Linked DNA regions of Kluyveromyces lactis. The main gene of each other region encodes a partner of the protein of the gene in region 3 in a complex. Links are inferred from orthologs where the notes say so. Each region holds a gene or a part of one and is shown on either strand. Other genes may lie near its edges. The genes, in order: RSC4, SNF5, ARP7, SWI1, SWI3, NPL6 and SFH1.

Region 1 (4,140 bases), on a different chromosome or scaffold from region 3:
TACAGTTGTTTTCCCGGACTCGATCTCATTTATAACTTCTTTTGTATCTCTTTGCAATTCTGGCTGTGTTGAAACGACACCAGCATCTTTGTTTTTATTTCTTCTGAACCATGACAAGAAATCAGAGCGCACTGCACTTGAAGTGAATTGTCTTGATGAACGCACTACTGGCACGTACCTAGACGCTAGCATCATTATTCTTTTTTGTTTTCGATTGAAAAATATGCACAGTACCACGCTTTAATGAACTGATATCAACCGCCAAATCAGACAACACTAGAAGATACTTCTGTGCTTAAGCTCATCAAGAACTTGACCGTTCAATTAATGTTCTAATATACAATATCTTCATCAAATTGTAAGTTTATAGTTTTTAGATGAAATTTTTCAATTTTTCAATTGGGCATAGAAAGAATGTAGTCCATATGGGAAGGTTCTAAAGAGAGAAAGAAACAGGATCTGAAGCGATAGATAGTTGCATCATAGTGGTCTTTAACAACGGGTCGAGTTAAGTGCGTACTTCCTGGTTTGCATGATGTTCACTGTATTCAGTAACTAAAAGCTGCTTATCTATGTAGCCCGATAGATAAAGAAGACGGGGTTACCCTATTCAAAACACCCACAACCCACATACTAGAATATGAAATTTATGCTTCCCAGTGCTTTTTATCAACATCTATAGTAAGTGTAGTTCCTTTACCTTAAAGCCACCAAGGCAATGAGATAGTTTACGTTTACTAACGAATTCTAGCATCAGTAGCTACCGAAAATCTGCCTAAAACATTTAAAATATTATGGGAAATGTGCTAAGTTGCTGCTTTCGTCAAGATAGCGACGAAAATGACCCGTTATTGCAGGAACAGGACAGGTACGGCTCACAAGCCCAATTAGATTATAACGAAATGGAACAACGACAGAAGGAAAGAGTGCTTGCAAGAGAACTTGAATTGACCGAAATCGTGAATAATACGAACGATAAGCTTATAGATATAGGTATGATCAGCAACAGCGGTATCGTAGCATCCTCACACGATTTAGGTTCGAGCTATGTGCAAGATCAAAGAGAAATTTTACATGACGTACCCTTAACGGTACTTCCCAGTTCGAAAATAAAACAGGACACAAGGAAGGCGATTCAAGAATTTCACAAAAAGTACTTCGCTAACCTAGTGAAAAACCTTACCGTGGAATATAACAAGCCATTGGTCGCCAATATCGAATCGTGACGCAATAGGTTTCTGCACTATTAGCGCACTCAAAATGGGTTCACCAAATGTTGAAATGCGATATATCACTATATACGTCTGAACATTTCTCAATCTTGTAAAGGTACTTTCACTCTCTTTATTGAAAACATTGAAATATACAAACTTTGTAGAATAGACATATAAAACAATACGCAGTATACGATTTTGGTTTGTCAAAGGAGCCAATTAGGTACGGTTAGAGTAAGTGCCTTGACTGCTGCATATATACTGAAATTTGTTCATTTAAGAAGCCAAGGAAGCGAGGAGGCAAAAAAAAAAGCATAAACAAACTGGAAAGCGCCAAATACTATGGCTGTGAAAAGAAGCAGATCAGAAGATCCCAGTGAGGAACCCGAACAAAAGCATTCAAAACAGAATTATGTACCAAGATATACACCAGGAAAACGTCCTAGAAGCGGCGCTCTACCCAAAGTGGATTATGTGCACCCTTTGGATCCTACAGAAGAGCTCATTGTAGATCTAGATTGGACTATTCCTAAGTTGAATTTGTTCATCGCATTTACTTTGGATAATTTAGTTGAAGCTCACAAGGCTTTATTCAAACACTTTATCAAACTACCCAGTAGGAAGTTTCATCCACAGTACTATTACAAAATTGATCAACCGATCTCTATTAACGAAATTAAAAGCAGGGATTACGAATATAGTGGTGGGGAAACCAAGTTCTTATTGGATTGTGAACTGATCTACAAGAACTGTCTTGCATATAACGATCCAGATTCTCTTATTGTTAAAAATGCGAAACAAGTGGTATATTTCATCAAAAATGAAGTGTTGAAAGTAAAAAATGCTACAAGAAATTTCTTGGTTAACGATGATGTGAAGACACGTTTCATAGCAATCTTTGACACTTTACTCAATGTAACAGATAAACAGATGGCAGAAATCTTAGCAGAAGATGATGACGTAAAATTAGAAGCGGCTTCTAACAACAACTTGGATGACACTTTAAACATATGCCAACCGTTCCTTGAATTGGTAGATAAAGATGAGTATCCAGAATATGAAGAAGTGATTCGTTTACCTAACTCATTGAACTTGGTGAAAAATAACTTAGAACTTGGATACTATCACAAAATCTACGATTTCATTACCGATGTTAATTTGACGTTTCAAAACGCATTGGTTTTCAATGACGAAGATACTACAATATATAGCGATGCATTGAAGCTGATGAAATGTTTTAGTGTATTGATCCAAAGAAGGTTCTTCCCTGAATTAGAAACTGCTAGAGAAAAAGGAGAAATCACGCTGGAATACGACAAAATTGAATATAAACAGTTCGTACAAGAAGAAGAAGAGGAAGAACCAATTCTTTCTGATGATGATGAAACTAACGAAGAATACAATTATATAGAGGGACTAGGAAATGGATATAATCGAGGCCCAATGTCTAGAGATTACCTTTTGGGACCATCAAAAACAAGTAAAACTGCAGACTCGAAAGTTGAAAACAATGAACCAGATAAACCACTTCCCTTGAAATTTAACATCCTTCCTGTTATAAAAAAGCACAACATTGAACCAAAGACAGAGCCAGTGCCTTATAAAGTGATAGAAAAGATTCAGATTTCTTCTTCTAGAAGTTTTTATGAACAATCAATACGACCACTGAAGGGACTGTATCAGAATTCCGACAATATCACTTGGTTCGAATACATATTCGCAGATGGTGCCCTCACCCAAACCAGCCACGAATATGCTATTACACTACCACCAAAACAAAATTCAATTACTGTGGTTTCACAATTAAGCTCTCCTGTTTCAGAAGATAGCCCTGCAGTTTTGATAGCAAACAAGGATAAAGTAAACCCAATACCAGTATTAGATGGGGATAAATTCGACGAAAGTAAAGCAAGATACGATATCAAGTTGGCAGAAGGTCTGAACACTGTTACTTTCTCTGTAAGAGATTCAGAGAACGACCGTTTGGAAACAGCCAAATTCTGGATTAGTGTATTACCTTAGTTAGCTATTATGTAGCTCCAGTGTAATATATGAAGACTATAAATTTACTCAAAAAATGGGGCTTGAAAGAAGAATCACTCTCAAGAGAACCGAACGTCAGTTATTAAAAAAAAAACACTCTCACTCGATCCAGTTAGCAATATACAATGATATCATCTCCATTTAGTACCCTGAACACCTTTTCAGGCTCTACATTATAAAGATCAATTTTCAACTTGCTCGAAGTAGCCAATTGTAAAAGCGACAAAAAGGCATTACAGGCAATTCTTTTAGTAACAGGTATAATCTCTTCATCTTCTTCCTGACTTAACTTACTTGGGATAATATCTTCAAAAAGGAATTTTCTGGAATAACCTGGGAAAGCGGCAGTTCTTTTACCTATGTGTTGTCCTCTCTCAACAATATATTGAAAGAATTTTTCTGTCTGCTTATCATGCACGATAAGCTGCTGTTGATTTTCATTAAATGTCTGTGGAATTGAATCTGATCCTGAAAGGTAGTCCGCAGAACCGCTGTCTCCTCTTATCGCTCCTCTTCTTCGATTTGGATATCCTCTTAAGTTTTCGAGATTGTCTGAATTGGCAGTATAGTTTCTGTTTGTGCTTCTACCAAAACTTGAGGGAGGGATATCAAGTTCCATAAATTGGGGATCATCCATTGGCATGTCCATATACTCAGGATACTCGTTTATTTGTTCAGGTAAGTTGTGAAGATGAATCCTGTTGGAATCACCACTACTGGATACGTTCGAAAAGTCCATTCTTCTTCCATGTTCTAAACTCAAAACGCTGCTAGATCTAGACGTATCTCCTGCAGAGTGCATTACTCTTCCTCTTCTACCTTGCGGAAAATTGATAGAGCTCAATGGTTGGAAGAGTTCAGAGTAAAAATTTAGCATCTGCCT
Region 2 (4,765 bases), about 1.1 Mb from region 3:
GATTTGTGTTCGTAGTAACATTTGATGAAACTAGGTTGTAGTAAGGATGTTAAGTGTGAACTAGGTGGTTGAACAACCGAAGATCTACTAGATGTTTGGTCATTGGAGGCGAGTTCGGGTTCCAGTTCCGCTATACAACGTAGTACAGCCATTGAACCGCATACCATGTTTTTGTCCAAATGCCAATTAACTTCGCCACGAGTCATATTTGTTTCGACACCGCCGTGAGTGTTTCTCATGACACGTACTATTCCCTTAAAATTTCTATTCATCCTGATAGTCATGCTCATGTTTTCTATTTCTTTCACCGTCGTGCTCATTCCAACGGTGACGCGGACCTCAAATTCGTCAAGTCTTTTACCTAAACTGCTTTGTAAATTTACGTCTATAATGCCGAGGTTTGAGTCTCTTTTCACCAACGGTAGGGTATATTGACAGAGCCTAGTACGTCCATCAGGAGGTACAAACGTTAGCTTAGTGAATTTCCCAGCGATTAAATCATTTATGCTGTTCGCCTTATCCTCTAAGATGCATCTATGGAAAGTCGTGTTTAAGTGGCTAAGCTTGTGGTCTAAGAGCCCAAGTTTCATCTCAACCAATGGCTGTCCGCTGAGATGGTTGTTTAAGTCGATACAACCCTTGATATGTCCGGTTAACAGTTTCCCCTTTTCCACAATAGCGTTAATTTCCTCACTCATATCGATGAATATTTCGTTATTAGCATAGTTGATGCCGCTCATTCTCCATGGGACACCAGATTCATCAACGGAATGATCAACTAACGAGGAGCCAGGAGACCCAACGTGGAACGAGGAAACGGATGAAGCGGATGAAGATGGATATCTACTGCCACTAAACCTTGATTTTTCCGGACCATTCTTAAACATTGACCCGTCCGGTTGTTGTAAGGTCTTGGTAATTGTATTGGTTGTCGTCTTCAACAATTTCGATAAATCGTTTCTACTTGGGACCATTGCCTTTAAACGGTTCGAGTCTGTTATCACCGGTTGCCCAGCATCAAGGATACAATGGAAAAGCATCGATAATCGATCGAGGTTATTATTTATCTTCTGCTTCGTTAATTGGTCCTTATCGAAATATTGTAACAACAGTAAATCTATCTCTTCTAACAAAGATACCACGGAAACTGTGGACTCTGAACACGAAATTAAACACCAATAAACAACTGGATTCAGCAAAGAAACGTGTCTGCAAAGCTTCAACTCAGAATTTATCTCATTGCAGTATTTAGACTCCCATGATTCGTCTTTACCTTGTAGTTTAACAACTAGTTGCCGAAAAGTAGGGCACTCTGCTACTGTTGAGTACTGGAATAGCGTTTCCTGGCACCTATCATTGACATATATGCTAACAATCATTGTAGCCAATTGCTTAAGTTCACTATGATAACCAACTATATGCGGATAACCCGCTGTATCCTGTTTGCTTGCCTTAATTTTTCATTAGGTTGTTCCATCTCGTACTTCTCTTAATCGTTAATCAAAATTTCGTGAATTTCATGAATTCAAAGAACGAAAGAACAAGACCAACAACAAACTTTAAAGATCAACAAGAAATTCTTGTTTTTAAGGGAACTGAACACCTTTCAGGTAGGCTTCAGAAAGGGTATATTTGACAGCATTTGGTTGAGAATTATCGCAAGAAAGAATATACTAGTTTCCTTCTGTGTTTCCCTTTCTGTCTGCAATTGAAAACACTAGTTGCAGTTTTGTTTCTCTATATAAGCTGAAAGGAGAATGTCAAACCCACCAATGAATCCTGGCAATGCGAACCCTTTGAGTAACATAGGGACGCCTTCCTTTTCGCTTTCGCAGGTTCCACAACATATCCTACAATCCTTGACGCCAGCGCAGTTGCAGATGATTCAGCAGAAACATCAACAGTTGTTATTGCAGAGACAAAGACAAGCACAGCAGATGCAGCAAGAACAGGTTTCTTCTCCCGGTAATATGAACCAATTGGATGCTGCTCAGCGTGCGCAGCTAATGAAGCTCAAACAACAACAAATGCAGAGATCTCAGACGCAGCAGCAACAGGAGCAACGAGCTCAGCAGGTGCAACAAGCCCAGCAATTGCAACAACAGCAGGTTCAACAGCAACAGCAGCAGTCTCCTCCCCAATCTCAACAACGAACTTCTTTGAATCTTCCTCCACAAATTGCACAACTATCACCGGCATTGCAAATGCAATGGCTTCAGTCCATCAAACAACAGGCTATTGCGAGAAATAACCAGAACGCTCTTCTGATGATCACTCAGCTTGAAGTCAAATTACAGCAACAACATAGACAGCAACAGCAACAGCAACAACAGCCTGTACCACCACAACAACCTGTTCAGCAGCAACAACATCAATCCCCGCCACGCAACATTATTCCTCCTAACCAACCGCAGCTTCAACAGCCTCAACCTCAGAAACCTCGTATACCACTTCAGCAACAAATGGGGAATCCACAACAAATGATTGGAGGTCAACCTATAACTCAGAATATACCAGTTATGAACAGTAATCAATCGATGGTTCCTTCGTCACAACAGCCACAATCACAACCACCACAACCACCACAACGACAACCACCACAACGACAACAACAACAACAAGTCCCAGTTTCAGTACCACAGCCACCTCAACCATCACAAGCTGCAATACTACAGCAAGTGCTTCAGAAGTTTCAGAAACAACTTCCTGATATTCCCAAATTCCAAACTATTCTTCAAGACCCACCTGAGACTCCATTACCTCATACTAGGTTATGGTCAGAGAAAGAAAGAGCTGATAACGAGCCTGTGAGTTTTGATACAAGATTATATGAACATGTTATTGAACGGGATTTGTTGGATAAGGACAACTTGTTGGCGGACACTAATGGATTGGAACCTATTTCCAAATTCGGATTCAGTCAGAGGGAGGTAATATTGAGATTACAGCAAGATCTTGATTATTACAAAGAATTGAGGAACAGTCGAATGCAATCCATTACCAACACAACTCAAGGACATAAATCTAAGAGTATATGGGGTGACGGTTATTCTGGATATGGAAATGGCTTCAGTAACGATCTCACAAGGATTCAAGTCGATGACACTTATGAAATGCACTTGGACGAAATATATGAATGGACAATGAATCAAACAGGGGAGGAACTAGTACCTGTTAGATTAGAGTTTGATGCAGAAAAGGATAAATTTACTTTGAGGGACACATTCGTATGGAACAGATCAGACACGCTACTGTCAATCAACGAATTTGTGAAAACAACGCTGAAGGATTATAGGCTCAAAGTCACCACGGAGATGTATCAACAGATTGTGAATAGTATCAAAGAACAACTTCAAGAATATACTCCAAATCCTTTTGAAAATGTGCAGAGGTTCGGGGGCGATGATTTCAGAATAAAAATCAACCTAGATATTGTCGTTGGACAACATCAATTGATAGATACCGTTGAATGGGATGTGTCAAATCCAGATAATTGTCCAGAATCGTTCGCGGAGTGTTTATGCGAAGAACTATCCCTTCCGGGTGAATTCTTAACAGCAATTGCACATTGCATTAGAGAACAAGTTCACATGTATCACAAGTCATTATATATGGTTGGTTACAAATTTGACGGTAGCCCCGTTGAAGAAGACGATATCAGAACAAGATTCTTGCCTGTACTCACCTTAGCAGACGTAATGAGACCACAAAAGGATACGTTTTTATACACACCTAACTTATTACAGATATCTCCCGCAGAACTAGAACGTTTGGTTAAGGATAAGGACAGAGACACTAGAAGGAAACGTAGACAAGTTCGTTTCAATAGAAGAGGCAATACAGAAAATCACCCATCGTCCGGAAGTACACCGCAACTACCCCATGATGCAGAACTTCCTGATCTTGGGGATATCCCAAAAACGTGCCGTCAACTACTTCCAACAACAACTTTGCCTGGAGGTATTGATGTTGGTCCAAGTACGTTATCGTTCCAGCCATCAACTAGAGTCGAATATTTAGACAGAGCTAAAGCAACTCCAAAACAAGAATTCCAACAGGAAGTAAGAAACTCATCAGCATGCAGAGTTATTATGCACGACGTTGGGAAATCTTTACTCGTCACTATAAAGCTACCAAAGGCGAAGACAACCATTCAATGAGTAATTCGCTATATATATATATATGTACATATGTATTTATGTGGTACCACCTGTAACAATTTTAAGAAATACTATGATAAATAAGCTAGAAGAAAGAGCACTGAAGATAGCTATGAGAGACCGAACGCCGATGATCGCGGGCTTACTCGAGGGTCTTGACACGCACCTCTACGTATATCGATATTTATGTGTGCCTGTTTCATTCTTTATGGTGTAAGCCTCTAAATTTCATAAACAGCTCAAAACCAAAAAATATATTTAGTAATGGAAACGTTAACATTTGAACGAACCAACCCTTTTAAGAAACTTGGTATGCAGAGGCCACAAACTCATCAAAGCAGCCATATTTGAGTGTTACTCGAGGGTAGTAGAGTTTACTGAGATTATCTACGCGGCGAGTATGTCTGAGCATTCGGAATTCGTAGCCGGAAGTGGCGTTGGCAGGAGCCAAGATGAAGTCGGTGGATCTTCCTCAGTGACTTTGTCTCCTTCACAATCGCAGTCGCAGCTGCAAACACAGCCAGAAACCGAATCTTCAAGAGCTGATGATGTGGAAACAGGGACAACTTCGTCGTCTTCTAGACTGCACCAGATGAATGGGCAGT
Region 3 (3,699 bases):
TTCAGCATGGTTATCAAACAATGGTTTCAATTCTAATTGTGATCCGCTCAACACATTGGATGGAATCACTGTTGTTGGTGACGGCCTTAAAATCGAGATAGAACGCCTCCACATATTTTTTCTTTTTTCGCTACTTTTTCTCACTAAGAGAGACAAAAACAGTTATTTGCTTCAATTGATGTCTAATCCGATTAAACGATCAACAATTGGGTACCTTTTCAAACGCTCCTAATCGACAGCAATTCACGATTCTGTCTTTGTTCTCATTGGTTTGTTTGAATGTGTAATTGCTGCTCTATCTTTTGTTATAATAATATCTAATTCTTTGAAGCTGAAAATTTCAAGGTTTTGGCAGTTTCTGAAAATTGATTGGCTGAGTGATACTCCAATTAACAATCAAGAATGGAGGTTAGAATTCATGCTAACCACACATACATACACCATTACATAGCACCTGAGTCTCATCTAAGACATTGGGACAATTCGGTTGGACTGGAAATCTGTAAACGATTCAATCCTTTGCTTCTACGAGTAGTTTGACGCAAGTTTTATTGATTAAACTGATTCTATGATCGTTGATCTGACGGATGAAAAGAAAAAGAGGCCTCTCAAAAATTAAGGGTAAGTAATTGAAAATACTTTAGGAAGAGAGAATACATAATGTTACAAAGTGATTAATTATCACGAGCATTTAAAGAGTGCTTCAAGAGAAATAGATGCGGGGTAAAATAATACCGTTTTTCTTCCCCCTCCCTTAGTTTCTCTTGTCTCTTGTCTCTTGTCTCTTGTGTCCGGTGTCCTGGACCTGGATATGTCTCAGTGAAGAGGGCAAACAGATAAGCTTCCTGTTCAATCATTGGACTTCGTTTGTTCTTGATGATTGGAAGCAGCCAATTGTTTTGCAAAAAGGTACGAACTTAATGAAAAAATGCGATCATTATCGTCCAATGGCTGGGCATTTGACGAATGTGAGTGGTCAGACAATATCTGCTGCGCAGAACTGCTCTTGTTGAAACCCTGAAACCCGAGCAGAATGTTCCCCATTCTGGAAGATGGTTTCTGTGATAGATACTCTGTTTCTTTATCGTATACCTCTTGCTCTAAACTATTCCACTTGGCTTCGAGTTGTTTCTTCTGTACTAAAGCATCTCGAAGCTTCTTCTTTAGTTTCTCGTATTCTTTCTTTTGTTCGTCCATAGTTGTGTGAGATGAGTGTTAGGTTATGTTAAATCACTTTACCGATAGAGTAGAACACAATCAAAACCAGATTCAAATCCGTTCGATAGCGGATCGTCTGTTTCATCCTTTCTTGTTATTATATATGCAAATTGGATGTTGAAGTAGTGCGTTCTTTCAAACAATATTAACATTGGCGACGAGTCCGGGTAACAGTACTGGAACTCAGTTTGGAATTTGAAATTCGAAGAACCGACGAAAAAAAAGCCAACATGTAAACATCAACATAAACAGTGTTATCAACTCTAGTATCCCGTTTAAGAGCCATAATTTTCCATTGATAGCAGTTATAATCGGCAAAAACAGGTAGCTGTTGAAGAAGTTAATCCTTATCTGCTTTTGAAAATTGAAGATCTTCTCTTTGTTCTGGTGCATATAGAGTGATTACGTTATATCTATTGCAAGTTCAAGATGCCGACCATGAAGAGTGTGGTGATACAGATCTCGCAGACTAGGGTTATTTGTGGGTTCAGCAACCAAGATTTGCCGCAGTTAATTGTACCATCTCAATATTTGGCCTATAAAAGAGATGGATCGGATGTTAAAGTTTTCGGTAAATGGGAAATGATAGAGCATTGCGACGATGAGAGCGCTGAAATATACCAATTGTACGATAAGAACGGACTTCCAAATGATTGGGATATGATGGATGCTCAATGGCAGTACATCTTTCAAAGCCTAGGCATACAGTTCGAAGACTATCCAGTATGTGTTGTCTTACCTTCCGACTTAAACAGTGCGCGTCGTAAGAGATTTATGGAACAACTGTTGGGGTACGGTTTTCCAATGGTCCAACTTTTGAATGAGGCTGTCTGCAACACGTTGAGTCAGGGAAGATCGAGTGGAATTGTGGTGGACATTGGCCACAGTGGAGTGAAAGTGGACGTTGTCATTGATGGTGTTCTTTTCAAACAATACCGCAAGGAGAACAAGATCGGTGGTGCATTCTTAAACTGGCAGATCTGCGATCAATATTTGAAGCAGGATTCGGGCAAATCAACGAAAATCTGGAGGGATGCCACTGAATGGCTACCCAACTTCAAGAATAGCATGCTGCAAGTTTCTCCGATTGAATTGGATGCTAATTATGACGTGGCTCCTCATTACCAACATATGGTGTCACCAATGGACTTGACCAAAAATTTCCTACTCGATAAGAAAACTCTCACCTTCACTAACAAACAGCTATACACCATTGGAGAACTCTTGTTCAAGCCAGTGATACACGTAAGTAACAATGCAAACGGAGATGTAGAAATGGCAGATGTCAATGACATAGAGAAAAAGCCACATCCGGAGAAATTAATTGGGGTCATTGGATTGATCAGAGCATGCATCCAAAGTTTATTAAATGGTGTCAATGCAATGTCCACCGCAGGCAGTAACACTACAGGGTCCTCCACTACGACGGGTAATGCTTCCTCGGGCAACCAAAGCAACAACAACGAGGATACGAACATCCCAACGCACAGCTACACTTCTGAACAACTACAAAGTCTACTGCTTACGAACATTCTAGTGACAGGAAGTACCTCGAACATTCAGGGTTTAGAGCAAAGAATATTGAATGACGTTTCAGTCTCCCTAAACGATCTAACCACAGTGAGGCCTAAGATCCTTTTCAAACAGACCAAATTAGACAGAAACTTCCAATCATGGCAATCTGCAACAACCTTATGCAGACTACCGTTGCGCGAATCGTTACATGCGTGGGAATCTATCGAATGAATGGCGATATCCACCTGCCCTACCTCTCACTCAACTGGCAGTATAAAAATATAATAATGTACGTACCGGATAATCTTCAAACCCAAGAAAACTTAAACCAAATAGTATTAATCCACGTGACCGGATCTGGAATAGTAATTGCGAAGAAGGATAATTTAGAGGCGCTGATCCTTTTCAAGAAAAGGTACCAAAATAGTAAGACAATACCCTAAAAGAAGGCATCCATTCTCTTTCAACAAGCATTTTCGCGTATAAAATGATAGAAAAAGACGCGTTCCGGGAAGATTTGACTCACTCCGAAAAGAAACGTAGTACGTTTCTTTTTTAGAATTTCCTCCTGGAAAAACAAAGGGACACCAGAAAACTCCGTAGAGACGTGGAATAATTATCTAATTATTCAAACACATGTACGCATTTAGATTAGGTATTATCAAGAATCTTCCTTTGAATTGCTAGGATAACGTAAACAGTGTGACATGGAGGGGAGGCTTATCAGAAGGTAAACACAATGTCCCTGATGACCCTTGGGTCATCAGGGACATCTTATCAACAGCAATAACAGGGACTTGTCAAGGATGTCAACAGTGAAATGTAAGGCATTTGTGATTGTCCCTGCAACCCGGTGTTTTCAAATGGGACACTTTATCAGATGGGACACTTAGTTATTCCAGGATAAATGGCCAATTTTTTCTAAGAAGCACCAGTACGAATAGAGGGATTTTGTAAAAGAGACAC
Region 4 (4,672 bases), on a different chromosome or scaffold from region 3:
ACCCTTGTTCTTAGCACTAGCTTTAGCGATGAAACCACTGTGGTAAATCAAACCATACTTTGGTGTGTTACCTTTAGTCTTCAAAGCTCTGAACAATGCCTTTTCAGCACCCAAGATTTGGACAGTAGAGGCAGCTTGCTTAGAAAGATTGGTCAAAGAACCAGAATGAGAGATCAATCTAGCACCGATAACTTCACCGATCAATTCGGACAAGTTTGGAGCCACAGTGTGCATCTTCTCACATAGGTAATCGTATAATTGTTTCCTGTATTCAACAAGGGAGACAACTCTCTTAGCGAAGATGGTAACGTTTTCCATATCAGTTTCAGAAAGATCTTGACCCATAGAGATACGAGCGTTATCGATCACTCTTTCACTGATACCAGCATCGTTATCCAAAATTTCCGATAAATCGTGCAAGGATTCTTCGTTCAAAGATGCCTTATCCTTAATGAATAGAACGAGTTTAGCAAACTTGTAATTGTCTGGGACTAACTTTGCCAACTCTGGGAAATGCCAACCGTACCATTCCTTCACTCTCATGGCAAAAGTGTTGATATCCTTATCCAATTGATCCAAGAGAGCAATGGCTTGAATGATATGGTTATCGTTTTTCTGAACAGAGAACTTAACCTTAGCACGAGAGTAAGCATGACCCAAACCAAGTTGAGCTCTTTCCAAATCACCAGGTTGTAAATCTTTCAATAATTTGTCACCGTGTAATCTAACACCACGAATCAAATCCTGAGCTAACTCATTAGAAATACAATCAACAAATGGAAAAACTTCTTTAATGGATGGACCTAAGTTCTTATCAGAAATAGCCAAAGTAACAGTCTTCTTAGAAGAACCCTTTGGTAAATTTAAATCCAACAAAGCTTTCAAATGTTCAGAGACTAAACCTTCAGAAATATCATTAGCATTTTCCAAAGCTTGAGCAGCACCTTTGAAAGGAGCAAAAGAAACCAACTCAACTAACTTAGTGAAAGAGCCGAAATCATTGATCTGTTGCTGGACTTCCTTCAAACGAGATCCGATATCATCCTGTTGCAATTTCACTTTGAAGATACCATACCCGGTAGGTTCTTCGAACAAAAGATATTCAATAGGAGCCATTATTTAATTCTCTGATCAATAAAGTTTCCTCGCTACCGTAAAATCTCTTTGATCTGGACTCTTCAACACACACTAACTTCGGAATGAATGAACAAAACTCAAGATAATACAGACAAGTATTAATTGAAATATCGCTGTGCACATAACACAATATACAATATATTCACTGGTCAGAAAGCTCATCTCTCTTTATTGGCTTCGAAATGAAAATTTTCCAAACAAAAAAAAAAGAGCGATGAGCTTGAAAAAGAAAAGCAGAATGGGAAATATATTTTACTTACCCGGCCGCGGCCGGGTAAGTTATACACGTGATCGAATGTATTACCCGGATATAGAATAATTGACAAAATCACGTGACCTGGAATTTTCTTGTCTTTCCAAAAACAAAACAACGAAAGGAAACTCGAAATTGTATTCAATGAATTCAATTGACACTTGACTATCACTACTTTCAGAATGAATATAATTCCCTTGTTTTAGGTTTTATTTAGGCGTGATTTCTCTCCCCTGATATCAAGGGTCAAACGGTAACTTTATTGGTACATACGGATGGACGATCAGTTTTTGTTCCCGGACGAGAGTGATCCAATGAATTCTGGCGATGGCCAGCTTTTCGGTCAAGGAGGTTCGAACGGTGATGAGTACCTTTCCTTCCTTGATAACTCAGGCGCACCCAACCAGCAAGGTATACCTGATAGTAATTTAGGGCCGATGGAAGATGTTAACGCAGGCGTAACGCCCCAGGCTATATTGGCTAGAAATTCATTCTCAACTGTCAATTCACCTCCGTCGATGAAGAACGGTGGAGTCTCTATCTCTCCACAATCCATGTTTTCTCCAGCCGCAGGACCAATTCCTATGAATACAGCCAATGTAGCACCGACGCAGTCTCCCGCCGGCACTACTTCTTTACAGCAGATGTTATCGCAGCGTGGAACGCCGCAAAATGTGCCAAGTGGATCCCCTACAATGGCCGATGAGTCTTTAGCTCAGGCGAGTGCTAGTAGACAGAGCCCTCAGTATATGGATAGAGCCGCAATAATTGCTGCGCATCAACAGAGGCAACAGCAACAGCAACAAAAGCTACAGATGTTGCAACAACAGCAGGCATTCAACCAATTACAGCAGCAGAAACTAAGACAACAGCAGCAACAAGCACAGGCTCAAGCGCAGGCACAGGCTCAAGCACAAGCTCAAGCTCAAGCCCAAGCACAAGCACAAGCACAGGCTCAAGCTCAAGCCCAAGCTCAAGCGCACATACAAGCACAAGCGCAAGCACAGGCGAGAATGCAACAACATGCGCCTCAAGTACAGAATCAGTCTAATAACCAAAGAAACGTTCTACAAAATCTAGATCCAGCCATTCAACGGAAAGTCGGTCAGGAATTAAACACCAAACAGTTTGAACTATTTAGAAAATCATTTTTGGAACATTGCAGGAGAAAGAATCAACCCGCAGATATTGCTCAAATGATTAATGGTACCCAGGTCAGTTTCTTCATCTTATACATGTATGTTCAGAAGCTTAACGGAGGAGAAAACGTCACTAAAGCACAACAATGGCACATATTGGCGAAAAAGATGAATATACAAGGACCAAATGCTGGAGAAGAATTGGCAAAGACGTACTACAGATATTTACTACCGTACGAAAAGTACTTGATGACCCCAGAAGGTATTAAAGAAACTCAAACCAATCGTATCATGTTACAGCAATTACTTCAGGACATTATAAGAAACATTAGAACGAATACACCGCAGTTCCAACCGCAGGTGCAAAATCAGTCTTTTATGCAGGGTCAAAACGTAATACAACCGGATTTACAAATGAAGCAACAACAGATTCCTAAGGCTCAAGGCAAAACAAAGAACACCGTCCCAAAACAAGCAAAACCTAAACAGCCTAAGAAGCCAAGAGTGAAGAAGAAGACTAAGAAAGAACTAGAACAGGAAAGAAAACAAATGGAAGAGCTGCAAAAGCGTCAACAACAAGAAGCGGAGCAACAACAGCAGCAGCAAAAGCTCATATTCGAACAACAATTGAAGAAACAACAGGAAATTATTTTGAAACGTCGTGAAGAGCAAATTAAGAAGCTTCCGAAGGTGTATAAGAGAACGATGGCCAGGCATTATAGTCCCACCACAAGAGCCATCACCACGCAAAATGGGTATGATATTTCAAAGATTTCAGCTCTTGGTGAGATGATACATAATTTTAAACCCATCTTCCTCTTTGCGCCGGAGTTTGGTGTCGTCAATATCAATGCAATTGCAATGCAGTTACAAAGTTCTAATAACCCGGAAGTCAATACCGCACTAAACTCATTATTAGTTATTAGCTCCGATAACACTTTATCAATTCCACTCGATAAATGTCGTGAGCTTTTGGATAACCTCTGTATCTTGGCGTGTCAGTTACTGCATAAACTATTGAAGAAGGATTATTCAAGGATATCAGGGTCTTATACTGAATATGATGAACAGCAGTGGATTAATACGCCTCCCAAACATTCGGATTCCTCTGATACTCATATTGATAAAATTTTCAAGGAAAGCGTCAAAAAATCTGGAGAAGATCAATCTGAATATACAGTAAAGGTAGACTCTTTAACTGGTATAGATTTTTCTCAACTTCCGATCACACCGACGGAACCAGAAATAGAAGTCGATGCGACATTACCTGAAGTCTCACTGGAGAAGGACGAAGATGAGAATGATATTGAATACTTACCTGATTTGTTGAAAGACGAAAATCTCGATGAAATCAAAAAGCTACATTTCATTTCATATATGGATTCTCTAACTAAAGTCAAAACGGAAGTCGGATCCATCTTTAGCAAGTGTCACCGTTCTGGAGCAGAGGATCCGCACTTGTTGATTGTTGACCAATTGACAACAATTTCAATGATCTTGAGAAATCTTTCATTTAACGAACAGAATTCACAGGTAATGGCTAATAATTACCACATGGAAAAATATATTGCAGATACTCTTTGGATGGTTTTCATTCATAGAGATGAGTTTATTTTTGAGCGCAGGGTTTTAAACTTCAAGAAGGATTTGATTTTTATTCTATCTAATATTACACATATGTTGAAAATTGAATCAACAGTAACTTGTTTGTTAATCATAATGCTAGCGTTGAGCTTCGCTGATCCGAAAGATCATATTCAAGAGAATAGCGTCTTGACATATGCAGAGTACACCATGAATGTTGAAAAATGTCAGACATACGGTGCGGACGTCTTGGCTAAACTTCTTTCTCTTGGTTACCCAAATAGAGCACATTTTAAGTCAGTATTAACTGGTGTTTTCACTGAAGAAAATGACGATGATGACATATGCCAGCAGGTTTTAGATTTGTATAACGGGGACGAAAAATTCAAGTTGTTTAATGACATTTTCTCTTTTATCATTTCCACCATCCCCTTCCAACAAATCAATAAAATCCCTAATCTGATTGAAGACTCACTTCCATCTATTTTACAAGCTCTGACAGCTGCTGTTTGCATTGTAAAGTTTATCGATGCTCAAGAGGAGCACTGTATTTTCAAAA
Region 5 (5,002 bases), on a different chromosome or scaffold from region 3:
TACAGACCAGTAAGCTTCTCTGAATTGTTTACGTTCAGTGTGGTTATCATTCCTTGAGAGTGCCTGTTGATAGCTTAGTGATCTATCTATTTTGGTCTGTGCTATCCGTGGTACACTTTGTAACGCCTGGATTGAGGAAATGTAGAAACGTCCTTTTTGTTTCATACGGTCAAAATTGGAGTCCGGACTCTCTTTAATCATTAAATTGACTATTATATGAAAATCCATTTGTGGATCAGGTTCATCCGTTATAAAGTAGTCTTTATCTGATACTTGAACCACTTATATCCTATCCTCCACTCCTCCTACCAAGAATCAGTAGTTGTCGGTTGTAAGATTGTTTGGATGACCATTGTAGTTTTTGGGATTTTTCTAGTCCCAGAATTTATTCCGTTGTTTGAAGGATTTATTCCTGTCATCGATTCTCCTATCAGTGTTTTCGAGTGTTCTCTTTTGTTTAGTCATTTTGCTAAACCTCAATTCCTTCTTTAATTCTAGGATTATCTCAGTGGTTTGATTTGTAGGTGGTTTGCTGATGGGATGTATGCTATCAAAACCATGGTAAATCATAATATGTCTGTACACTTTGTCGGCCAGGATAGTATCCAAGTGAGGTAAATTGCATTTTTTGAAAGCTTCAACTAAGTCTGTTAAAGTTTTTATTAAACCCTTCACCTTGTAACGAGGATTTACTTCGAAGAATTTGACTCTATGCTCCAGTAAATAAGGATTGTATTTCTTATGGATATAGTCCATAGCAATGGTGGGAATGTCGGCATAATCCTCACGGAATTTCTCTCGATGAGCTTCCAACCATTCTGGGTTTTCTGGTAGAGATACTACTCTTTCATATACGTCTTGCCACCATGCGACTTGATCTGAATTGATACCGTCGAATAGAGTTGTATTTGAGAAGTCAAACTTATCTTCATACCCACAATAAGTGAAGTATTTATAAATATCAAACAACCATTTTTCTAAGAAGTCTTTTGTTTTGACCTCTCTGATATGAACATCATATTTTGCCTTTTCACACGGGAAAGGACTAAAGATGTTATCTTTTAGGTACCGTGTAATACTCGAACTATATTCATCTGTTACTTCCTTGATTGAGTAATTGTTGAACAGCTTTTTGTTGTTTGAACCTGTGGCGCTACCATATTGAGTCCCGGAAGCTCTCTGTTCAGTGTTACCCTGACATGATGATATTCCTTCGCTCATATTATCTGTATCTGACATCAATTGACTATTTATTATACACCGTTGTGTGGTCTGTATTCCTCCCTCTCCCCACCATCATCTTTCCATTATATAATGCCTAATCATCCTATGAGTTGGCATAAGATTGATTCTTCTCTTCTATTTGTACTTCTCTATCTCGTATATGATAAAAGAGTTGTCACGTAATAGTTCTTTCTATCTCGTATACTTTCGTATAGATGGATCTTAACACTTAACATATCACGTGCACAAAGGTATCATCTATTACCCGGACACAAATGGTCTTCCTTAGGAAAGATGTTTCGTCCTGTTTTAACAATGTTAAAATAAACAATTTCAAGTAAACAGACATTAAGTCAGGTTTGGGCCAGTTCAATCTAAAGCATCGATCAATTTTCGCGTCATTGCTACTACTTTTCAGCTTGTCATCACTCATCAGTTATTCTGACTCCACTTCTTTGTTGACAAGTGAAGGAAAGCAATTCGCCTGAGGAAGATTATAGTTTATACACGGATTTTTTAATGGCAGATGACGAACAACGGGACTCTGTTCTTGAGTCTGCACAAACTCAGAGCTCAGTAGAGAATACCCAAAACACGTCAGAACAACCTGGTTTGATAGACCATACCGAGGATGTAGATATGGGAGGAATTGATGATAACTTGGACATGGACGTTGAACCTAATCTACCTGATGATTTTGGTAACGAATTCTCAGAATCTTTGCCGCAAGACTTCCCTGAAGAGTTCGGCGATGCACCATTGGCCGAAAACCTCCCTGAAGGAATAAACGATAAGCTTTTATCGAATCTGGATAATGAGAACGGTGACGCGGACGATGCAGATCTATTTGAGGAAGAACCCGAGGAACAAAACCCTGCTAATGAAGCATCCGAATCTGATTTGTTGAAATCCCCATCTAAAGAAGACGATACTACCGCAGCAGGTAATGAGGAACAAGAACAAGAACAAGAACAAGAACAGGACGAACAAATGGATAAAGAGAATGACGAAATCGCGTTGCCAGAAACTAAAAAGGAAAGCGATTCGAACGGCGAGGGGAACAATGACCCTGTTGGAAATATAGAAACTGAACAGAGCGAGGTAGAACCTGCACAGAACGAACTGGAAACTGCCAATGACAAACAAGAGCCAGCACCAGAACCAGAATCATTTACTGAAAACCCCAAATTACCAGACGTGAAGGACTTAGGGCAGCCCGATTCTGGTATAGATGCTCCAGTACATACTACAACAGAGACAACAGTTGATGAAGAAATTGATAAAGAGCACAATACTGAAGCAGAAGCAGAACCTGAAGTAGATAGTATTCTTGAACAAGAATCGAGATCAGCTTCTCCTGAATCAAATATAACCGTAAAGCAAGAAAGTAATACTGCTGATCCAAAATTATTTGTACCGCAATCCCATGAAATTGTAATCCCTTCATACTCGAAGTGGTTTAATTTGACCAAAGTTCATGAAATCGAAGTGAAATCTTTACCGGAATTCTTCACTAATAGAATACCTTCAAAGACACCCCAGATGTACGTCAAATATCGTAACTTCATGGTAAACTCTTATAGACTAAATCCAAATGAATACTTCACAGTCACTGCAGCTAGAAGAAACCTTTGTGGAGACGCGGGCGCCCTCTTCAGACTACATAAATTCTTAACCAAATGGGGATTGATCAACTATCAAGTAAATGCTACCAAGAAACCTAAAATGGTTGAACCCCCATTCACTGGTGAATATGAGACGAGATACGATGCTCCGCGTGGATTATTCCCATTCCAATCTTATAAGCCGGCCCTACAACTTCCTGATATGACCCGCTTAAAAAAGATAATGACTCAGTTAGACACCAAACCCTCGGAACCATCATCTTTGAAAAGGACTAGTGATGAAATCTCCAGTGAGCACACTCAAGATTTGTCAAACGGGGGATCCAGTCACGTTAATGGTATCACTAACAAAACGGCTTCGGGTTCTGTGGGACCAGAGAACTACGGCCTGAAGGATGAAAAGGAGTCTCCAGTGAATGCCGACCTTGAGAGAAACGATCGCAAACCCAAAAGACCAAAGATTTCTCAACTGATTGACAAAGATTGGACCCAAGAAGAAATCTATAAACTTATCGAACTTATTAAAGAGCATGGCACCGATTGGTTTAACATTGCCAAAACTCTAGGAACAAAGACTCCGGAGCAATGTATTTTAAGGTTTTTACAATTGCCTATTGAAGATGCATTTTTGATGGATGAAAAAGATCTCGGACTCTTGAAGTTTGGTTCTCATATTCCTTTCAATAAATCTGACAACCCCGTAATGAGTACGTTGGCATTTTTAATAGGGTTAGTCGATCCTAACATTGTTCAGCATTTGACTAAAAGGGCCATTTCTCTTCATGACATTAATGTTAATACGGGTGCTAACACGGAAGCAAAAGACGCAGAAGAAAGGCAGGAAGAACAAAAAGAAGAACAAACAGAGGAATCAAAAGAAGAACAAAAAGAAGAAATAAAAACTGACGCCAGGGAAATTGAGCATACAGAAACGGGAGCTGAAAAATCTGAACCTGCAAATTCAAATGCCGCAGATCACTCCACAGCAACTGAAGGAACTGCTCCAGCAGCAGAACAAGTAGCAAATTCAGATGTAACTGTTGACACTTCAAATGAGAAAAATGCAAATACACCAGAGAATGAAGAAAAAGAAGCAACAGAAGTAAGAGCTGAAAAAACAGGAGAAGAAGGGCTACAAAAAGCGGAAGAAAAGAATAAAGAGGAAGGTAGTCAAGAAGAAGCGATTCCAGTGGAAGAACCTCATCAAGAAGAATCTTTAGAGAATGAAGCATTATCAAACAAGGAAACACCATCGGAAAAACAAGAGCTGCCAGAAGAACAAGCAGTAACGGTCACAAATGCTGAATCTGATGCTAGAATAACAGTGAAGGACGGCACAGAAGTCGCTCTAGCTACCTTGGGGCTACGCTCTCATGTATTCGCTACCAACCAAGAAAAATTGATGAATAGGACGACAAATGATTTAATCAATACTCAACTAACAAAAGTCGATTTGAAGTTGAAGGCTCTTGATACCATGGAAAAATCCTTGGAACTAGAGCGCAAGGCTGTGCATAGGAAGCAAGAAGATGTTTTCATTCAAAGGCTAAGCTTCACCAAGTATGCCAACTCTCTTATGGGAAAATTTGAATCTTTACTGAAGCAAATTCCGGAATCTCCAGAAATCAAACAGCAATTACACGAATTACGTACCATAATTGCTGATCCACCAAAGACAAGTATCACATCCCAATCGGGTAATCTACAAGATTCTGATGATCTAGACTCCGCCAACAAACCAATATCGATTGAGTCACCGCAGTTATATCGTTATTGGTCAGGTTAATAATATAGACAATATTCATGTATTATATAGCCTCGTAACATTATATTAATTTAAACTATTGAAACAACACAAAAAGTCAAGCCTCTCCTTGTCCAAATGCAACATCTTCGTTGGAGTAAATCCTACTTGTTTTTTCCTTTGTACCTTGTCTTCAGGAATTATGTCCGTATGCTATATTGTCTTTAAAATATGAAAATATTGGAAACCTTCAAAAAAAATAGCTTTAACTAAACACGAATACGATATTTAATATTCCCAATATCAGAACAATTGAATGATACTGGTATTCGTTGTAAAGGTCGGATTTGCATTATTAAGGACCCAGTAACAAGTTCTGCGATGAATTTGTCTACATATGAGCATGCGT
Region 6 (3,949 bases), on a different chromosome or scaffold from region 3:
GACTCGGGCAACTCGTTAGGTGAAGTCTCGGGTCACTCTCAAAGAGTCAATGCAGTTCATTTCAAGCAAAGCAGACCAATGAGAGCTTTCAGTGTCAGTGATGATGGTTCTGTTGTGTTTTACCAGGGTCCACCTTTCAAGTTTGCAAGCAGTGATAGAACGCATCACGGCCAAGGTAAATTCGTTAGAGACGTCAAGTTCTCTCCAGGTGCAGGGAAATATGCTGTGTCTGTCGGTAGCGATCGTAAGATATGTTGCTTTGATGGTAAGACTGGTGAATTTATCAAATACATTGAGTCTGAAAAGGCTCCAATTGGCGGTGGTTTGTTTGCTGTCGCATGGTTAGACGATGGTGAAGAGTCTTCTAGAGTTGTTACCGTGGGTGCTGATTGCACTGCAAGGTTGTGGGATGTGTCGTTGGATGATCCATTCCAACAGTCTTGGAAATTAGGTGCAGATGTTTCGAATCAAATTGTCGGTGTTGTTGTCACTAAGGATAACTCCATCGTAACATTGACGCTTGATGGGACCTTGAGCATTTTGTCTCTAAATGATCATACCATCAAATTCATTCATGGTCACAACAAGGGGATTACTTCTTTGGCGGTAAACCCATTAGTGTCTGGGTCATACGATGGTAGAGTTGTTACCTGGAATTCAGAAGGTGACGAAGTCAATGCTATTAGCCATGATATTCATGGTAATCTCGTATTGGCCATCGATAACTCTGATAACGAGGTATCGAGTGTTTCTTGGGACGAAACGTTGAAGAATTTCATCGATGGTGAAAAAGCGCTTGCTGAAACGAAGTACCAATTCTCAGAGCAACCTAAATGTGCGGTTTTCTCTCATAACACTTTGGCTGTTGCTACAAACACTAACGAATTGTTGATCATCGATAACAAGAGTGGGCTATTATCGAAATCGATAACTCTAGATAAACCTGTCGGGGCCCTCGCATTGGGAACTACTTTCGTGGCAGTGGCATACGAACAAACCAACTCCGTGCAGCTATTCAAAATTTCTGACCTATCAGATGCATTCACGTTGGCCACTCCATTACGTGCCACTCCATCTGCTCTTTCCTTCTCTCCATCACAAAAGTACTTGGCTGCCGGTGACGTGTCCGGTAAGATTATCCTATATGATCTTGACACGAAGGACGTCAAGACCTCGAGATGGTCATTCCACACAAGCAGAATTACATCCATTGACTGGAGACCTTCTGCAAATGATGATGATTTGGAGGAAGATTATGTTGTCACTGGCTCTCTGGACACCAACATCTTCATCTACTCTGTTAACAAACCTATGAAAGTGATAAAAAGATTAAACGCACAAAAGGACGGTGTGTCCAGTGTACTATGGGAAAACGATTCCACTATCGTCAGCGCCGGTGTGGACGCCTGTATCAAGAGGTGGACCGTCGAGTTTTGAATGAGACACATTTTTTACCAGTAACACATAAAAGTATTTAACAGTTAGTTAACGTACGAAATATAAGACAATGAATAACAATAGGAGGATCAGATGTTGCATCAAGGCCCCCCCCCCCAGAAATATCTAGAGCTTCTAGTAAAGCCGTTGAAGTTGTTCTTTCTTCTTTATCATCTCATACGTTTTGATGTTTCTCTTGAACATTGAACAGATTCCTGCCTCTCAAAGCTTATATATAAACAAACAAGATCAACAAAGCTCGGTTGAAAGCGGATATACGCATAACATTCCTTAGTAATTCTGTATTTGGAATCACCAATCAAGAAGCTTGAGTTTCTCCTATATCAGATATGGCAGCAGCAGGAAGAGGCAGGAAGAGCTCGAGGGTTTCTCGCTCAGCTAACAAAGCAACCAGCTATAAAATCGATACAGACGAGTTAGACATTGAAGATGATGAAAAGGATCAAGAGTACCCTGGACCAGCCAATGATGATGATTACGATGATGACCCAGATGCTGATATCGAAAACGAGGGTAAACCATCTCGTTCCAAGCGCAAGGCCGCTTCGAGCACACCTGTTCCAGTGGTACTAGCGACAAGAGGAAGGCCTTCAAAGAGGAAAAGAGAAGAAGATTTGAACGATCCCTTAAGACAGAAACTACCGTACCCAGTGGACGAAAACGGGTCTCCATACCCAATTGTGAATGACGAGTATTCATTACCTGAGGATCCAGAGGGTGAAACCAAGATCACCAAGAATGGTGATCTTCTAGAGGGAAGACAATTTGTAGTCAGAACTTTCACGGTACCTTCCAGAGGTGAAGTTAAATACATGCTTTCTACTGAGCCAGCCCGTGCCGTTGGGTTCAGAGACTCATACTTGTTCTTCCAGTACCATCCAAACCTATACAAATTGATTATCTCGCAATCAGAGAGAGACGATCTCATCAAAAATGGTGTATTGCCCTATTCGTACAGAAACAGAATCATTGCGCTAGTTACTGCAAGGAGTGTGTTCCGAGAATTCGGAGCCAAGGTTGTTGTAGATGGTAAAAACATCACGGATGATTATTACGCCGGTAAGCTTCGTGCATCCGGGAAGGTGAAAGAGGGTACCCCAGCAAGAGAAACATCACACACAAGTGTCACTGGAAGAAATACCCTTGGAATAGACATTCCGCAACAATTATCCGTCAACCCATCCAAAAATGCAGTAGAATTCTTTGACAAGAGAAATCACAACATCCCGGCAACAAGCAATATCTCATCTACGAACTGGCTCTATCATCATGCTGCTGCATGCAGTAGATTCAACAGTGATCTTTTCTACGATAGAGAACGCATTCTTCTCATCGAAAACCTCGGACTAAGAGATACGTACACGAACGTCTTACATATACCACAATCCACACAATCGACGAGAGTGATATCAGTGAAGAAAGTGAAAGGAAACACAAGCCAAGTTATGTACGAAACAAGAATCAAAGCTCTTGACCTAGCAAGACCTTGCACCGGTCTTTCTGACGTCCCTACATCGATGTACGAAGACATCTTGGACGAAGATATAGTCGCTGCTATAGAAGAACAAAAGAGATTCGAAACAAGCCTATAACATAGCTGAACTGACCTCCCATGTATACGTGTATATCTCAACATACGTAATAAGAGTGTATTATACTAAGTGGCCGGGTAACGATATGTCCTTGCTCTACCAAAAATGAATTTGGGCTTTTCAACCAGAACAACCCCATAAGGTGAACAGACAAGGCCATTTGCCACCGATAAAAGGAGCGTTAGCAGTTACATTTGCAATCTACAGTGGTTGCATTGTGAATTTAAGACCCTATAGTAGTGTAAAATAGCCAGGTGTTTGTTGAAACGGCTGTTTTTGTCTCGGTTTGTTTCGGTGTTAACAAAGATTTTCCACTGGTTTTAAATTCGAAAAGTCCTGTTAGGTAAACGGTATAGCAATCAGACTCGGCTAACCGTAGCAGCGACGTGGTGGTTTTATTACATTGAAGTGACTTGCAATGTTCCATTTAATAAGGCCGGTATCTAGGCTTGGCGTAAAGTCTGTGGCCAGTAGGGCGTTGTACAAAGTTCCAAAGGGGCGTTCGCTGATATTGTTACGAAACGACGTATGCCGTACGTTCCATTCCGGTAAGCTCAACTTGATGCAGAATCGGTTTGAAAAGGAGCCTACGGATGAAGACGTTGATAAAGTCAGGAAAGAAGTTAGAAAGTTTATCGATGATTTGAACAAAGATCAGAAACTCGATATGGAAGAGCGTAAGAAGAAGATTGAAGAGCAATTACAGAGGTTGGAGCTTGCTGTGAAGAGGCAGCAGGAAAAAGAAGATGCCCAAGATAAAGCGAATGATCCTTTCCATCTAGAGCGCGAGAAGAGAGAATTTGAAGAATCGGCGAAGAAGCATGATCCCAAGAATGATCCCAAGAATGAGTCTAAGAAGAGTTCCAACGGAAATACGGATTTCACACCAAATGATTCGA
Region 7 (4,009 bases), on a different chromosome or scaffold from region 3:
ATTACAACTTTTGCATAGCAGCAACATCAGTAGATTGGACGTGGTCTTCATCTTCTTCGATAAGTTGTTGCAATTCATCAAGAGAAACCTTAGCATCTTCGATGACCATGTTAATTTGCAACTTCTTGATACCGAAACCAATTGGAATCCATTGGTGAGCACCCCAGTTCAAACCATCCATTTCGATGTTCTTAACGTTGGCAACCAATTCTTCCAAATCGGTTTCGTCATCCCATGGCTTAACATCCAAGGTAACGATAGACTTAGCAGCAGCCTTTGGCTTAGCAGCCTTCTTTTCGTTGTATTCAGCGATTCTCTTAGCCTTCAATTGTTCAGCTTCTTCATCGACATCATCGTCAGAACCGAACAAATCGACTTCGTCATCGTCATCTTCTTCTTCAGCAGCAGCTGGTGTAGAAGTAGCAGCTGGCAAGGATTCGAATTGATCAGCCTTGGAAGCAATGTGGTTGAACCATCTAGAGAATTCTGGGTAAGTAGATTGGAAAGCCTTGAAAGCAGAGACGTCAGCTTGAGTAGCAGAGGTACTATATTGATGCAATTGTTAGTTAGTAAAATGGAAAGAACAAAAAAATGAAATTTTTTTGTATGGCAGCTAAGCTTGCTTGCTGAAAAGAGAATTCAATAAAAAAGATAAATCAGAATCGTACTGTCTAGGTACTGTCTCTTTGTCACTCATACCGGGGGTCTTACTTCCCGTCATAAACACGGACCAAAGAATTTGTTCATCATTGAAATAGTAAACTTTGAAGAATTCTCTTATTCAAAAAACTGCTTGATGCCATTGGAAAACCACCACTATAATTATTTCACATACCCTTCAATGTAAGACTTGTCAGCCAAGAAAGTGTTCAACTTTTGCAAGGTTTCGACCTTGGAGAAATCAGAGAAAGACATCGTTAATGGATAGTTAAACCTGGTGAGAGAAGAAACTAGGAAAGAATCAATTCCTCTTCTTCTTCTTACAAGGAACGTTGAATCAAATTGACGAAAAAAAAATACTGAAAAGCTGATGAAAAACTCTAATTCGAAAAGTTCCAATATATATATATATATATTTATGAGATATATGATATGTAAGACGTATGTACTATGGAATTATGGCATCTACGTGTATTCAAAGTGCATGCAATGTGCGGTGGAAGAAAATTTTTTTTCTTCCTTGTAAGTGCGATGAGATAGATACTGGAAAGGCAACAGCAGAAAACAGGGCACGCTGCGGCGTGCCCTGCGACAATTTGAGAAAAACCAAGTTTATTTTCAAAAATCATGGGTCCACCCCTTTGAAAAACGATTTTGCCATAGTAAATGGTTCCAAAACGGTACGGATTTTTCTGAGAAAGTGTTCTTTTTTTCATTTTTTTCAAACTGGATTCCTTTTCTTTTGACAAGTGAAATGTTTACTCAGGGTAACACTTAGATTGTTCAATCAACTCATCACTGTATACGAATATGAAAAAGTATCCATCAATTCAAGAATAGAAGTGCAAGTTCGTGTTTTAGGGCTGGTTGAATAAAGACTATGATAGTGTTACTACAAACAAACGGTTTACTCATTGAAGCGTGCTGATATACAGCAGACAAAGCAACTACGACCTGCCTCCCAAAATTGTATTGATATGTCGCTCGTACCGCAAGCCTACTTGAGTAACTTCCATAATAGAGTGAAGAACGAGGATGTTCCGTTGTTTACTGCTGCGCAGTTATCGAGAAACAAGAGGGGTAAACAGGTGAACTACGCTGAGTTCGATACGGATCTCTTGGATGAATTCATCGACAAGAACGATGAGGATGATTTGGAGGATGATGTGGACGATTCGGATGGTCGTCGTAGGGGTGGGGACTACTATGATCAAGTAGACGGTAGTGATGGAGGTGCTGCGGCTGCTGCCGCCACCGCCGCCGCAGCGGCGGGACTCGGTGAAGATGGTGGCATTGGTGAGGGCACGCCCGGGTCTGGTGACCCCGGTGCTGTCACTGGCGGAACGCCGGCTGCAGATACTGGGCCAGACGGTACAAACGATGGTACTGCAGGAACGTCAAATCCTAGCTCAGAATTGGATCGCATCAAACTAAACGACTTGCCCGACCTTGAAAGTCAGGATGATTCTGCCACTCCGCTAGCTTTGTTGAAATATCCTAGGATTAGGGAAACTTTCGTGCAAAGTAGGATCGCTATCAGTTATAAAGACCTTCTTGGAGATTCTATCCAGGATCCGCAGCAAGTGGATATAGAAAGCCCGATAATGGTTCCAATACGGTTAAACGTTGAATTCAGTGGACACAAGTTAGCAGATTTTTTCATGTGGAATTTGAACGACCATTCGATGACTCCAGAACAGTTTGCTACGATCTTGTGCCAGGATCTTGATTTCCCAGTGCTTTCCAACCCAAATAATTCCCCATATACACAGATTATCTCTATGATTAACGAACAATTACAAGAATATGAAACATTGGCATCTTTACAGGTTCCTGATTTACACGTGATAATAAATTTGACTGCAAATCTCGATTCCAAGCTTTATGATGACACTTTTGAATGGAACCTTAATGACGATTCATTATGCCCAGAACAATTCGCAGAATTGGTGGTACAGGACCTGGGCTTGCAAAGAGAGTTCGTTCCTGCCATTGCACATTCGTTGCATGAATCCTTGCTAAAGGTAAAGAAGGATTGGCTCGAAGGTAATTTGAATTTGGCCCATGTAGAAAATAAGGCAGCTTTCGGTTACACATCAGGTATCCGTCTAGATATAGATACACTTGGCGCCTCATGGTTCCCTAAGGTAGAAGTCCTCTCACAATGGGAAATCGAAAAGCGTGAAATTGAAAAGGAGAGAAACATGAGAAGATTAAAGAGAGAAAGTGCCAAGGTCGATGACGGAAGATCCAGAAGAAGAGGCAAGAGGAGAATGGATGACTTGGAAACTACTTTGAGAATATAAGTGTGTTCTCTTTTCCGGCCAAGCAGTTTAACTTCACAGACGCCCATTAGACAAAGCTGTATAGAAAATAAAGTTCTCCATCTATTCGTGGAGATTTATGTATCATTAATGTATTAATACCACCGTCATCTGTGGTTTTGCACAAATACTCTTCCTTTTCGTCAGACTATTATTTATTTAGTCGCCAAAAATCTCCACAACAAATAGAAAAAGATCAAAGATCATCGCGAATCAGTAATGCGTACGCTGGGAATAATAAAAAGTACATACCCGAAATCCTTATTACTTCAATTACTATGCTCCACGAAGTATTATACAAGCATTTAGACGGCATTTTAGTCTCACGTTTGTATACTGAGGATCAGTTTGTTGATCTATTTTCTAGAACGATACCGGAATCCAACACTGTGATCGCGTCACAGTTATACAAAAGTTATGAAGAGAATGATCAACGGATCATTGAAAAAATAGATAAACTCATCGACAACAAGCTGTCTTTGATAAGAGTTGAGCTCGAACGGGAACAAATTGAAGACTCCATTTCTCTCGAGGAAGTAAATAAACTATTGCATAGCATTGATGATATGTTGCAGCAGCATTTAAATCAATTAAACATTGAACTAGATAATAAAAATACAAAACTTTTGAAATATGCAATGGAACTCAGTGACATTGAAGCAATAGATACTTCCATGTACGATAATGTTGCAAAATTAATAACGGACATGGAAACCAACCAACCTTCTAGTTGAAAAGCTCAAGAACACACGGTAGAATCTATTCCAGGCACTTCCAATTCTTCACCAACCCATTGGAAGACTTCATACTTGGAGTTCAAATCTTTGTTTGAATGCATGCAGTATCCATCACCTGAATCAGGTTTCAGTGCACCGCTGACCGACATAGGATTGATGAATATGCATCTTTTCACTCTGGAATGAATTAGTGCCATGCTGCACATTGAGCACGGCTCATGACTGGTGTATACGTCAAAATCTAAGCAGAGATAAGTTTCCCCTTGATGTATATCTTTTTCTGACGCG

Evidence for each region.
Region 1: ARP7 (region 3) and RSC4 share a complex: the UniProt entries of both Saccharomyces cerevisiae proteins name them as parts of the two forms of the RSC complex. The link is inferred for Kluyveromyces lactis from reciprocal best matches to the Saccharomyces cerevisiae genes ARP7 and RSC4.
Region 2: ARP7 (region 3) and SNF5 share a complex: the UniProt entries of both Saccharomyces cerevisiae proteins name them as parts of the SWI/SNF global transcription activator complex. The link is inferred for Kluyveromyces lactis from reciprocal best matches to the Saccharomyces cerevisiae genes ARP7 and SNF5.
Region 4: ARP7 (region 3) and SWI1 share a complex: the UniProt entries of both Saccharomyces cerevisiae proteins name them as parts of the SWI/SNF global transcription activator complex. The link is inferred for Kluyveromyces lactis from reciprocal best matches to the Saccharomyces cerevisiae genes ARP7 and SWI1.
Region 5: ARP7 (region 3) and SWI3 share a complex: the UniProt entries of both Saccharomyces cerevisiae proteins name them as parts of the SWI/SNF global transcription activator complex. The link is inferred for Kluyveromyces lactis from reciprocal best matches to the Saccharomyces cerevisiae genes ARP7 and SWI3.
Region 6: ARP7 (region 3) and NPL6 share a complex: the UniProt entries of both Saccharomyces cerevisiae proteins name them as parts of the two forms of the RSC complex. The link is inferred for Kluyveromyces lactis from reciprocal best matches to the Saccharomyces cerevisiae genes ARP7 and NPL6.
Region 7: ARP7 (region 3) and SFH1 share a complex: the UniProt entries of both Saccharomyces cerevisiae proteins name them as parts of the two forms of the RSC complex. The link is inferred for Kluyveromyces lactis from reciprocal best matches to the Saccharomyces cerevisiae genes ARP7 and SFH1.

Annotation. Positions count from the first base shown.
Region 1 is NC_006037.1:259,071-263,210, forward strand, and holds RSC4 (Rsc4p), read left to right. Parts: upstream 1-1,556; coding exon 1,557-3,236; downstream 3,237-4,140. Other genes in the region: mitochondrial 54S ribosomal protein mL50 MRPL13, read right to left, coding at 1-195; MEH1 (Meh1p), read left to right, coding at 795-1,226; REC8 (Rec8p), read right to left, coding at 3,370-4,140. UniProt on the Saccharomyces cerevisiae protein: Component of the chromatin structure remodeling complex (RSC), which is involved in transcription regulation and nucleosome positioning. RSC is responsible for the transfer of a histone octamer from a nucleosome core particle to naked DNA.
Region 2 is NC_006041.1:1,665,717-1,670,481, reverse strand, and holds SNF5 (Snf5p), read left to right. Parts: upstream 1-1,757; coding exon 1,758-4,160; downstream 4,161-4,765. Other genes in the region: APM3 (Apm3p), read right to left, coding at 1-1,379; BSD2 (Bsd2p), read left to right, coding at 4,561-4,765. UniProt on the Saccharomyces cerevisiae protein: Involved in transcriptional activation. Component of the SWI/SNF complex, an ATP-dependent chromatin-remodeling complex, which is required for the positive and negative regulation of gene expression of a large number of genes.
Region 3 is NC_006041.1:566,574-570,272, reverse strand, and holds ARP7 (Arp7p), read left to right. Parts: upstream 1-1,647; coding exon 1,648-2,964; downstream 2,965-3,699. Other genes in the region: AIM24 (Aim24p), read right to left, coding at 1-114; EAF6 (Eaf6p), read right to left, coding at 850-1,197. UniProt on the Saccharomyces cerevisiae protein: Component of the chromatin structure remodeling complex (RSC), which is involved in transcription regulation and nucleosome positioning. RSC is responsible for the transfer of a histone octamer from a nucleosome core particle to naked DNA.
Region 4 is NC_006040.1:1,041,521-1,046,192, reverse strand, and holds the start of SWI1 (Swi1p), read left to right. Parts: upstream 1-1,665; coding exon 1,666-4,672. Other genes in the region: snoRNP complex protein NOP56, read right to left, coding at 1-1,116. UniProt on the Saccharomyces cerevisiae protein: Involved in transcriptional activation. Component of the SWI/SNF complex, an ATP-dependent chromatin remodeling complex, which is required for the positive and negative regulation of gene expression of a large number of genes.
Region 5 is NC_006037.1:580,030-585,031, reverse strand, and holds SWI3 (Swi3p), read left to right. Parts: upstream 1-1,743; coding exon 1,744-4,635; downstream 4,636-5,002. Other genes in the region: KLLA0_A06446g (uncharacterized protein), read right to left, coding at 373-1,239; CCAAT displacement transcription factor COY1, read left to right, coding at 4,975-5,002. UniProt on the Saccharomyces cerevisiae protein: Involved in transcriptional activation. Component of the SWI/SNF complex, an ATP-dependent chromatin-remodeling complex, which is required for the positive and negative regulation of gene expression of a large number of genes.
Region 6 is NC_006042.1:1,271,598-1,275,546, reverse strand, and holds NPL6 (Npl6p), read left to right. Parts: upstream 1-1,787; coding exon 1,788-3,050; downstream 3,051-3,949. Other genes in the region: AIP1 (Aip1p), read left to right, coding at 1-1,437; m-AAA protease subunit YTA12, read left to right, coding at 3,469-3,949. UniProt on the Saccharomyces cerevisiae protein: Component of the chromatin structure remodeling complex (RSC), which is involved in transcription regulation and nucleosome positioning. RSC is responsible for the transfer of a histone octamer from a nucleosome core particle to naked DNA.
Region 7 is NC_006039.1:1,628,434-1,632,442, reverse strand, and holds SFH1 (Sfh1p), read left to right. Parts: upstream 1-1,637; coding exon 1,638-2,966; downstream 2,967-4,009. Other genes in the region: EFB1 (translation elongation factor 1 subunit beta), read right to left, coding at 2-545, 836-915; NKP2 (Nkp2p), read left to right, coding at 3,263-3,718; TAD3 (Tad3p), read right to left, coding at 3,724-4,009. UniProt on the Saccharomyces cerevisiae protein: Component of the chromatin structure-remodeling complex (RSC), which is involved in transcription regulation and nucleosome positioning. RSC is responsible for the transfer of a histone octamer from a nucleosome core particle to naked DNA.